Linked DNA regions of Saccharomyces cerevisiae S288C. Changing the gene in region 2 together with the main gene of any one other region gives a genetic interaction. Each region holds a gene or a part of one and is shown on either strand. Other genes may lie near its edges.

The links.
Region 1: mutations in HPF1 (region 2) and FET4 together harm fitness more than expected from each alone (negative genetic interaction), as found in Saccharomyces cerevisiae (one large-scale study listed by BioGRID).

Annotation. Positions count from the first base shown.
Region 1 is NC_001145.3:912,206-916,673, forward strand, and holds FET4 (Fet4p), read right to left. Parts: upstream 2,334-4,468; coding exon 675-2,333; downstream 1-674. UniProt on the Saccharomyces cerevisiae protein: Required for Fe(2+) ion low affinity uptake.
Region 2 is NC_001147.6:27,894-33,339, reverse strand, and holds HPF1 (mannoprotein), read left to right. Parts: upstream 1-1,733; coding exon 1,734-4,637; downstream 4,638-5,446. UniProt on the Saccharomyces cerevisiae protein: Involved in cell wall organization and biosynthesis.

The DNA.
Region 1 (4,468 bases), on a different chromosome or scaffold from region 2:
CGCAAATCTATTAAATTAGATTGAATTGGCCGAATTTATACAGAAGATTGACGGCACTTCACCTCGAGAACTGTTGGTGCTTTTTTGCCTTTCACTTTTCTTTTTCTCCTATATTGTCGTATCGCTTCCAGATGTGAAAAATTGGCAATGTGATCTTCGGTCAAGGACGGACCGGACATATAAGCGGAGCGGGGAATCTTTAGTCAGCAATGGAAGTTCACACAGTAGAGACACAAATTGTGTCACAGTATATCACCCATTTACTGTAAAAAGATAAAAAGACCAGTAAATGTAACGGAAAACCATTCATTTTAACGGAGCCGTGACGAGAGTGGCTGTGATCGGAATTCCACGTCAAGGTCCTGGAAGACGGGGATCGGGGACTAAAAAAGAGCGTCGAAAGTATCCAGTACGTCATTACCAAGTTGAAAATGAAAAAAGATCAATTAGCCACATTTTATCCTGGATTTATTATCTATTATATATCATTTTAAATGGTTTAGGCTCCCAGAGAAAAAAGCAAAACTCAGGTGAGGTATATGTACAAACTAAATAAAAGTTCTAAGGTCGATCGCTACCTCCGTATAGAAATTCCTAAAATCCCTAAGGAAAATTAACTCCCTCATAAGTAACATGAGGAATTCTTCCCACTAATGCTAAAATGTTCAATGAAGCTATTTTTCCAACATCATAACCTCTGGGAAACGCTTTTCTACGTATGATAGAAGTATGCGCCTACGTGCGTACAAAGCGGTAACCTCCACTCTTCTTTGACGATCGGCCCAATTATGTGCTTGCAACAAAACTAGCAAGAAAAATTCTTCGATAATCATAGTTGGCGTGTTAGCAATCAATTGACCTGTTGTACTCCAACGCAAACCGGAAGCAATACAAATTAAACCAATGATGATGATGACGGATACAAGAACACTCCATGGAGTTGAGCAGATCCTATTAATATATTGGGATGTTCTGTAACCAATAGTGTTAATTTCAGGAGCTTTACCACTAAATTCTTCGGGACATTCAATACCTAATTCTTGGAATAATTCAAGGTCTTCTTTAGCCACATCAGAATAATTTTTCTCTTCATGTTGAACGATTCGGAAGTACACTTCTCTCAAAACGAAACCGTCCAAAAACCCAATTAAACCTGTGTATGTACCGATAATCAACCACCAATTATCATCCCACTTCATTGGCGAACCAATACCAATCCATGTGGCGAACACTGCCACACCAATCAGGACACCAATACCAGTACCAATAATATCAGCATACCAATCAATCATCTTTCTCCCTGTCGACCTTTTTTTAGATTCAATAGTAACAACTGGGTGAGGTGTTTCAAAATCGTTAAAATGCTTTCTTATACGATAGTCGATTTTCTCGTCCATATCAAAGATATCAACTAAAAACCTCCCCGTGAAATAATCATGTCTAGCCCTTATATTTTGTAAGAAAGTAGTGCAAATTAGAAGGGAAACTGCAACTGCAGTGTTAATATACATCTGCCAAGCGTCACTGAACTTTTTCAATCTTGGATTACTACCTGTAGTTTCTCCGGTGTAAGGTGGAGTGTTGCCCGCATCTTTTGGGATAGCACCGCAACCAATCCAAACGAAAATACCTATCCAAAATATCACCATTGCTGCAATTGAACCCATATACCTACTTGCTACGTTAGATAAACGGTCGTACCAATTTTCCACAGGCAGTTCTCCGTTAATGGCAGATGGGTCTATATGATTTTCAACAGAGCTGACTTCATTAGCTTCAACTGTGCAGTCTGCTTTTTCTTCCTCTGGGGTGCTTCTTGTTAGATAGTTTTTGAAGGAAGCCAATCTCGACTTCAATCTACCGCAGATCAAAATTTGTTCATGCGTACTCATCAACTGTTGTCTCATCAACAGTGTGTCCCAAACATAACTTTGAATAGACTGTCCGTCCTGCATAACAACTTGCCAATTGAAAGGTGCGTTATAAACAATACCAATAACCACCCAAATTATGAGGATGATCCAAACAATAAAAAAAACCGCCTGCGAACCGGCCACTCGTACCAGGAAATCCAGGGTCTTATCTGTGAAACCTTTGCTTAACCCGGTAAAACCTTTACTCGTGAAGATTGCCCCTGTTTCTGTTAAATTCACATTACAAAGTTCGTCATCAGTACTCTCATCGCTATGGCTGACTACTCTGACCACATCATCATTTTTGTAATCGTTAGAATCACCGAATTCTTCGTACTGTTTGCAGTCAACAGTAGGTGCTCTATGATGAACGTCAGGCCTAGCACCTGGATTCCCGAGAAACTCTGCAATTTTACCCATAATTTGATTAACGAATGTTTAATAATAAGGGTCTTATTAGGTTTCTATATCTACCTTTTCCCTTCTTATATCTGATACTGTTTGACTTATGATAAAAGAAACTTACTTACCTATCAATTAATTCATGCCGTGTGAAGTATATTTATATAAACAAGTATTTCTAAATGAAGAGCATCGAATCAAGATGTGGTAGATGCTAAACTAATGGGTGCAATTAAGAAGGCTTCTACCAAGCAAGTTCAAGGCCAGTAGCATTATATAGTTTTTTTGTCTTTATTTTTTTTTTTGGTTTTTTTTTTTTTCGTTTGAGAAAAATGCTGCTTCCTAAAAAGACTCAGCAAAAATGCTCATGACCTAATCAGTTTCGAGAGCAACCCCACGGGTAGGAAAGAAAGAGGCGCCAACGTTAAAGGAAACTGCCCATATCTAATACATAACCGCACAAGCTCCAAGCTCATTCAACACCTGTGTGATTTACGCCCCAATAAGGCTCAAGATTCCTCAATATTTTGTCGTTGTTCGAGCCATGAAAACCTCAAATTACTGCTACAGGACCCTAGGGTCTCGCTAAAAAAATGACTACGCGCGCTTATATAATTACTCGAATAAGACAAAAGAAAAAAACCCTTGCGATATGTCGTAGACACGTAAAAATGGCCCATTTAGTGGTAGTCGCAAACTAGAGGGGTAAAAATAACCTGTCCAGTACTGAAAGTAATGCTAGGGAAATGCGAATGACCGTACGTACACCTTCGTACATGCAGGTATTTAGGGGGCTTATTGTTTATGAACAATAGCACTATGCCAGGTCAAACATATCATGTTCGCGCAGTCTCCTCGTGGGATATATAAAGTGAACAAAAAGTGCACCCGGTTTTCGGAACAACGCTCTTCGCAACAAGGCAAAAAAGAAAAATGGGACAACGTAATCGGAGAATACCCAAAGGACATTATAATCCAATCAACGTAGTAGTACGTATGGTTAGAACAGCAAGCACAGATATTTGCTCATATGCAAGGAAACTGGTGTGATTAGAATGCCTTAAACATGAGTCCAATGTATGCGAATAAGATGCTACGTTGAATAAGCAGATCAAAGAACTTTTGGTAGGAAAAGCTTCTTTTTTTAAAAGCGCACGTTTCTTTTTCTTTGTTGGACCTTCCATCAAAATCCTTAATACGTGCAGCGAAGCAGCAACGCATTGACAGTTCATACAGGAAAGAGGAACAAATATTTTGAGCTGCTTGTCCCAGGAATCTAGGTGCTTACGTATCTTTTATTTTATTTAAATGTATGATCTTACCCACGATAATGGTCTTAGTACTTTAGTTTGGCAATGATGGAACCGGAGGACAACGGACAAAAGTTAGGGTATCTTTACTCTGTCACTGCGTATTTTTTGAAATACACTATTTTTACAAGGAGTTAAGCATAACAAGCACGTGCTGCAGATGTTTTCATTTAGTGAGTGAAGATCTTTATTCAAGTAATTCATCTTCATCCGTATAACTTCTTAGTAAAGCGACAAGGTCTGATGGCCGAATTTTTTTAATTTTGGCCATCGTATTAAAATGAACACTCTAAAGCCGAAATGAGAAAGATCTCGCTAATAGTAGGTTAGGACTCAATGGCTAGGTTATATTTTTGCCTTCGTGAGAGTAATTTACGTCGAGTAATGTCGCCTGACATCCATATCCCTTTGTTATTCTTCATTAAATGTCACTACAAATTCTGTCCTTACTGAAGTAAAGAATATTTGAAAATACTACACTGATCTTTAATTACTGATCTACAATAACACACAGTGTTGAAGGATAATTCCAAGACTCTCACCTGCGACTGGTCGTGTTAGGAAACCAAACTGAAATATGCTAAATTTCGAGTGAAACCTACCGGAATCGGTACATCTCCAGAGGATTTTAAGTGAAGATTTAACATCGTATAACAAGCATGCATAACTTGTCACTGGGATAAAGAGAAGGTACTAAATTTTCGTAGGCGACAATTTTCCATCTCATAGAGTACTCGAAGAAAAACATAAACACTATTAAAAATAGCTCCTAGTAAAGGCTTTTTGGATTCTAATTCAAGTTTACAAATACCTACCAACAACATTCTTGATATTGTAATCTGC
Region 2 (5,446 bases):
CGGCTAAAAAAGAGCGCAGTTACAAGAAAAAGCTACTATTTTATTATGCACGTGTGATAGCATTATCTTCAAGAATAAGCTCAAAAAAGAAAATGAGCTTAAAAAACCGCCTTTCCAGATAATTGAATGTAGCATATACCTATACATGCTTACCATGCCAAAAATATAACGGAACCACTACACATATCGGACCGTATTTTTATGGTTTATCAGTAAGGCCAACCATAAACACCTCAATGTTGGGGAGTCTGTCCTCGGCAATCAATGACGATGCCATTTCACCCTCATTCGAGTACTCGCTAACGTAAGAAAAAGGCACCCCGCAATGGGGTAGATCATACCCTAAAATGTTTCCTAGGTAGAAATAATAGTTACTAGGTAGGACGAAGGCAAGTACTACATAGCAGTACGGTTTCTGAGTCAGTAGTAACCCCTCAAACTTGCTCACACTTATCTTACCAAAAAATGGAGACGGACAATCAAATCTGAATTAAAAACACCGTCGCTTAACTGAATCAGAGAGAGAAGTTGAAACCAATGGTAGGAAATCAATCTAAAATAGAACACTTTAATTCTTAATAAAAAGAGGGGAACAACTTATTTTCTCCATTTGGCCTCGGCAACTTTCAGGGGGGCTTGAACGTATATACCGATCTACGTTGGAATTGACTGCTACTTCGTTCCACTAACCCAACTCAACAAATAAGCCTTGGAACCGCTGCAAGATTAGTCTATGTGACCGTGCCTTTTTTGCACTTTTAGAGAAACAGTGTTAAGAACTGTAATAACTGTTCAATTCTAAGCACTCAAACCGTGCTTGTACATATGCTTCAATGGCCTGCTCGATAGACCGATCACGTTTAATTTTTCTTTAATTTTGCCAAGGGAACGTTCTTTTCGTAGGCACCGCAATTTATTTCTAATGGATAAGTTCTGAATTTTGCTATGAATTAGTTAGTAGGGCCTACTAAAATGGCGTGGTATTTTTAAAGGGCCTTTACCAGCCACTCCTCAACAGAAAACCGTGCTCGCGTTGCAGAAATACGAGGTAGACACGCGCCTTAGGAACATAAAAATAAATATCTCGCGCTCACGGAAGGCAACCACTAACTCCTTTTCATCGAAAAGTGAGGTGTAGCTTACTAAAGCATTCCTCTTTATCCAAGTCGTATATTTTTCTTTATACTGCTAGTTCATTCTGAGCGGAGATTCCTGGCTAACTCTCCAATTGGAAATAAGGTAATAATGACTTTTCATGACGAATTGGGTGAAAATGCTTGGTGCTAGGCCCTGTGTTGTGGCTTTTTTCGGTAATAGTTTAATTTTCCAAAAAGGTTCCTGTGACTATCTTATCAAAGTAGCTTAGACCACGTCCTGCACGGTTTTGCAGACTGCTTAGGGGGTCTCTTGTTGTTATTAGCAGCGGAATATCTTTGTTTACTCATTAAAATGCCCCCCCGTTCGTTGCAAGGAACGCGCGCGCACAGAACTTGCGGATGCTTCCGCAGAAGTGCCCGTAGGAGATTTAAGCTAGCCCAGCGGTTAATCTACGCAGTTGCGTATTCGGAGTCCGCTCACACTTGCAAAAAGCATATAAAAAGCTTCATATTCATCTCATTAGTATCGGTTCTGCCATCCCATTATCTTAGGTTTATGCCTTTTCTGGTTCTCAAGTCAGTAACAACAAATACCCATCGTTGATTCTTTTTGGTAAGATCTCGCCTGTCAAAGAGATGTTCAATCGCTTTAATAAACTTCAAGCCGCTTTGGCTTTGGTCCTTTACTCCCAAAGTGCATTGGGCCAATATTATACCAACAGTTCCTCAATCGCTAGTAACAGCTCCACCGCCGTTTCGTCAACTTCATCAGGTTCCGTTTCCATCAGTAGTTCTATTGAGTTGACCTCATCTACTTCTGATGTCTCGAGCTCTCTCACTGAGTTAACGTCATCCTCCACCGAAGTCTCGAGCTCCATTGCTCCATCAACCTCGTCCTCTGAAGTCTCGAGCTCTATTACTTCATCAGGCTCTTCAGTCTCCGGCTCATCTTCTATTACTTCATCAGGCTCATCAGTCTCCAGTTCATCTTCTGCCACTGAATCAGGCTCATCCGCCTCCGGTTCATCCTCCGCCACTGAATCGGGCTCATCAGTCTCCGGTTCATCTACTTCCATTACATCAGGCTCATCCTCCGCCACTGAATCGGGCTCATCAGTCTCCGGTTCAACTTCTGCCACTGAATCAGGCTCATCCGCCTCCGGTTCATCTTCTGCCACTGAATCAGGCTCATCCGCCTCCGGTTCATCTTCTGCCACAGAATCAGGCTCATCAGTCTCCGGTTCATCTTCTGCCACAGAATCAGGCTCATCAGTCTCCGGTTCATCTTCTGCCACAGAATCAGGCTCCGCTTCTTCGGTTCCTAGCTCATCCGGTTCTGTCACAGAATCAGGCTCATCCTCATCAGCATCTGAATCATCTATCACACAATCTGGTACCGCTTCCGGTTCATCAGCCTCCAGCACGTCCGGTTCTGTTACACAATCTGGTTCCTCCGTTTCCGGTTCATCAGCTTCTTCTGCTCCAGGTATCTCGAGTTCAATTCCTCAATCAACCTCATCGGCTTCCACTGCCTCTGGTTCTATCACCTCCGGTACCTTAAGTTCTATTACCTCTTCGGCTTCTAGTGCAACTGCAACTGCTTCCAACTCTCTTTCTTCCAGCGATGGTACTATTTATTTGCCTTCTACAACCATCAGTGGTGACATCACACTCACCGGTTCAGTCATTGCAACTGAAGCTGTCGAAGTCGCTGCAGGTGGTAAGTTGACCCTACTTGATGGTGACAAATACGTTTTCTCTGCTGATTTCATAATCCATGGTGGCGTTTTCGTAGAAAAGTCTAAGCCAACTTACCCAGGTACCGAATTCGACATTTCTGGTGAAAACTTTGATGTATCTGGTACCTTTAACGCTGAAGAGCCTGCTGCTTCTTCCGCATCTGCCTACTCCTTCACTCCAGGCTCTTTCGATAACAGTGGTGATATTTCTTTGAGTCTATCAGAGTCCACAAAGGGCGAAGTCACATTCTCTCCCTACTCTAACTCTGGTGCTTTCTCTTTCTCAAATGCTATTCTCAATGGTGGTTCCGTCTCTGGTTTGCAGCGTAGAGCTGAATCAGGTTCTGTCAACAACGGTGAGATAAATCTTGAGAATGGCAGTACCTACGTCGTTGTCGAACCAGTTTCTGGAAGTGGTACAATCAACATCATCTCTGGCAACCTTTACTTGCACTATCCAGACACCTTTACTGGCCAAACTGTTGTATTCAAGGGTGAAGGTGTTCTTGCCGTTGACCCAACCGAAACCAACACTACTCCTATCCCTGTGGTTGGATACACTGGTGAAAACCAAATCGCCATTACAGCAGATGTCACTGCTCTTTCTTACGACAGTGCTACTGGTGTTTTAACTGCAACACAAGGCAACTCACAATTCTCCTTCTCTATTGGTACTGGGTTCTCCAGTTCTGGCTTCAACGTCTCCGAAGGAACATTTGCTGGTGCCTATGCTTATTATCTAAATTACGGAGGTGTTGTTGCTTCCAGCGCTACACCCTCATCCACATCTACCACATCAGGGGCTACCAACTCTACTTCCGGTTCCACTTCATTCGGTGCTTCCGTAACTGGTTCAACCGCTTCCACTTCATTCGGTGCTTCCGTGACTGGTTCAACGGCTTCCACCTTGATTTCCGGCTCCCCATCTGTTTATACCACAACATTAACATATGCAACAACCACAAGCACAGTAGTTGTCTCCTGTTCAGAAACAACTGATTCGAACGGTAACGTCTATACCATTACCACAACCGTACCATGTTCATCTACCACCGCCACTATCACTTCTTGCGATGAGACCGGATGTCATGTAACTACGTCTACCGGTACCGTCGCCACTGAAACCGTTTCTTCCAAATCATACACCACTGTTACCGTCACCCACTGTGACAACAATGGCTGTAACACCAAGACTGTCACTTCTGAATGTCCTGAAGAAACTTCAGCAACTACTACTTCTCCAAAATCATACACTACTGTTACCGTTACTCACTGTGACGACAACGGCTGTAACACTAAGACTGTCACCTCTGAGGCCCCTGAAGCCACAACCACTACTGTTTCTCCAAAGACATACACTACCGCTACTGTTACTCAGTGCGATGACAATGGATGTAGCACCAAGACTGTCACTTCTGAAGCTCCTAAAGAAACTTCAGAAACTTCAGAAACCAGTGCTGCCCCTAAGACATACACTACTGCCACTGTTACTCAATGTGATGACAATGGTTGTAACGTCAAGATAATCACCTCTCAAATACCTGAAGCTACTTCAACCGTCACCGCAACTAGTGCTTCTCCAAAGTCATACACTACTGTCACTTCTGAGGGTTCTAAAGCAACCTCATTGACTACTGCCATTTCCAAGGCTTCTAGTGCAATTTCCACATACTCCAAATCTGCAGCTCCAATAAAGACCTCTACTGGTATCATTGTCCAGTCCGAGGGTATTGCCGCAGGTTTGAATGCCAATACTTTGAATGCATTGGTCGGTATTTTCGTTCTTGCTTTCTTTAACTAATTTTTTTAACTGAGGAATTAAAAGTTTATTCCTCTGAAACGAGATAGGTTCTTAATATGCGTTTTATATACGCTTTGTGTAAACAGTTAAGTATTTTTTTAGCTTAATATTTGGATTTTTTTTATTTTTTTTATTCTTTTTGGATGAAATGGTTCCCTCTTCTGCCAATGAAGGGGAGACTAGGTTGATGTGTACACATCGTACACATTTTAAGGACACTTATTTCACTTATTGTCCACAGTAAAATCGTTCAGGCCATAATTAAATGCGAACTTAAGAGAACCTAAAAGTACCTCCCAACTTTTATAGTGGAGCTTCCGCTCTTTGGTCAGAAAAAAATCGAGTTCTGAACACTTGGCTTTATATTACAAATTTCTCCCTTCCAAGAAAGACAAGGGGTGCTTATCGCGACATGTCTCACAATAAACTTTATTATATTTATACTTTATTTATTAATAAGAGTTTCAAATAGGATTCTTGGAGAATTTTCAAAGCGTTTTTGCGTATAAGAAACTTTTCGGTTTGGCTCTTATCAGTTTACTGCCGATCTTTCTTCCTCACTGCTTGACCTGCCACTACGGAAGATCTTACCGACAATGATGTGAGCGGCGAGAACAAGGGAAATCTCGTAAGAATAGGAAACAACCTAACCTCATTTACTAAGAGAACCCGCAGGAAAAGATATCTTTTTGAGGCACAATTTTATGACCGCGTGTTTTCGAATTTTGACAGGGATCATGCAGGCAGAGATTTTCATGTCATTTGACAGCAAGTAACCCACAATCTACAGTCACACCCTTTTTGGCTTT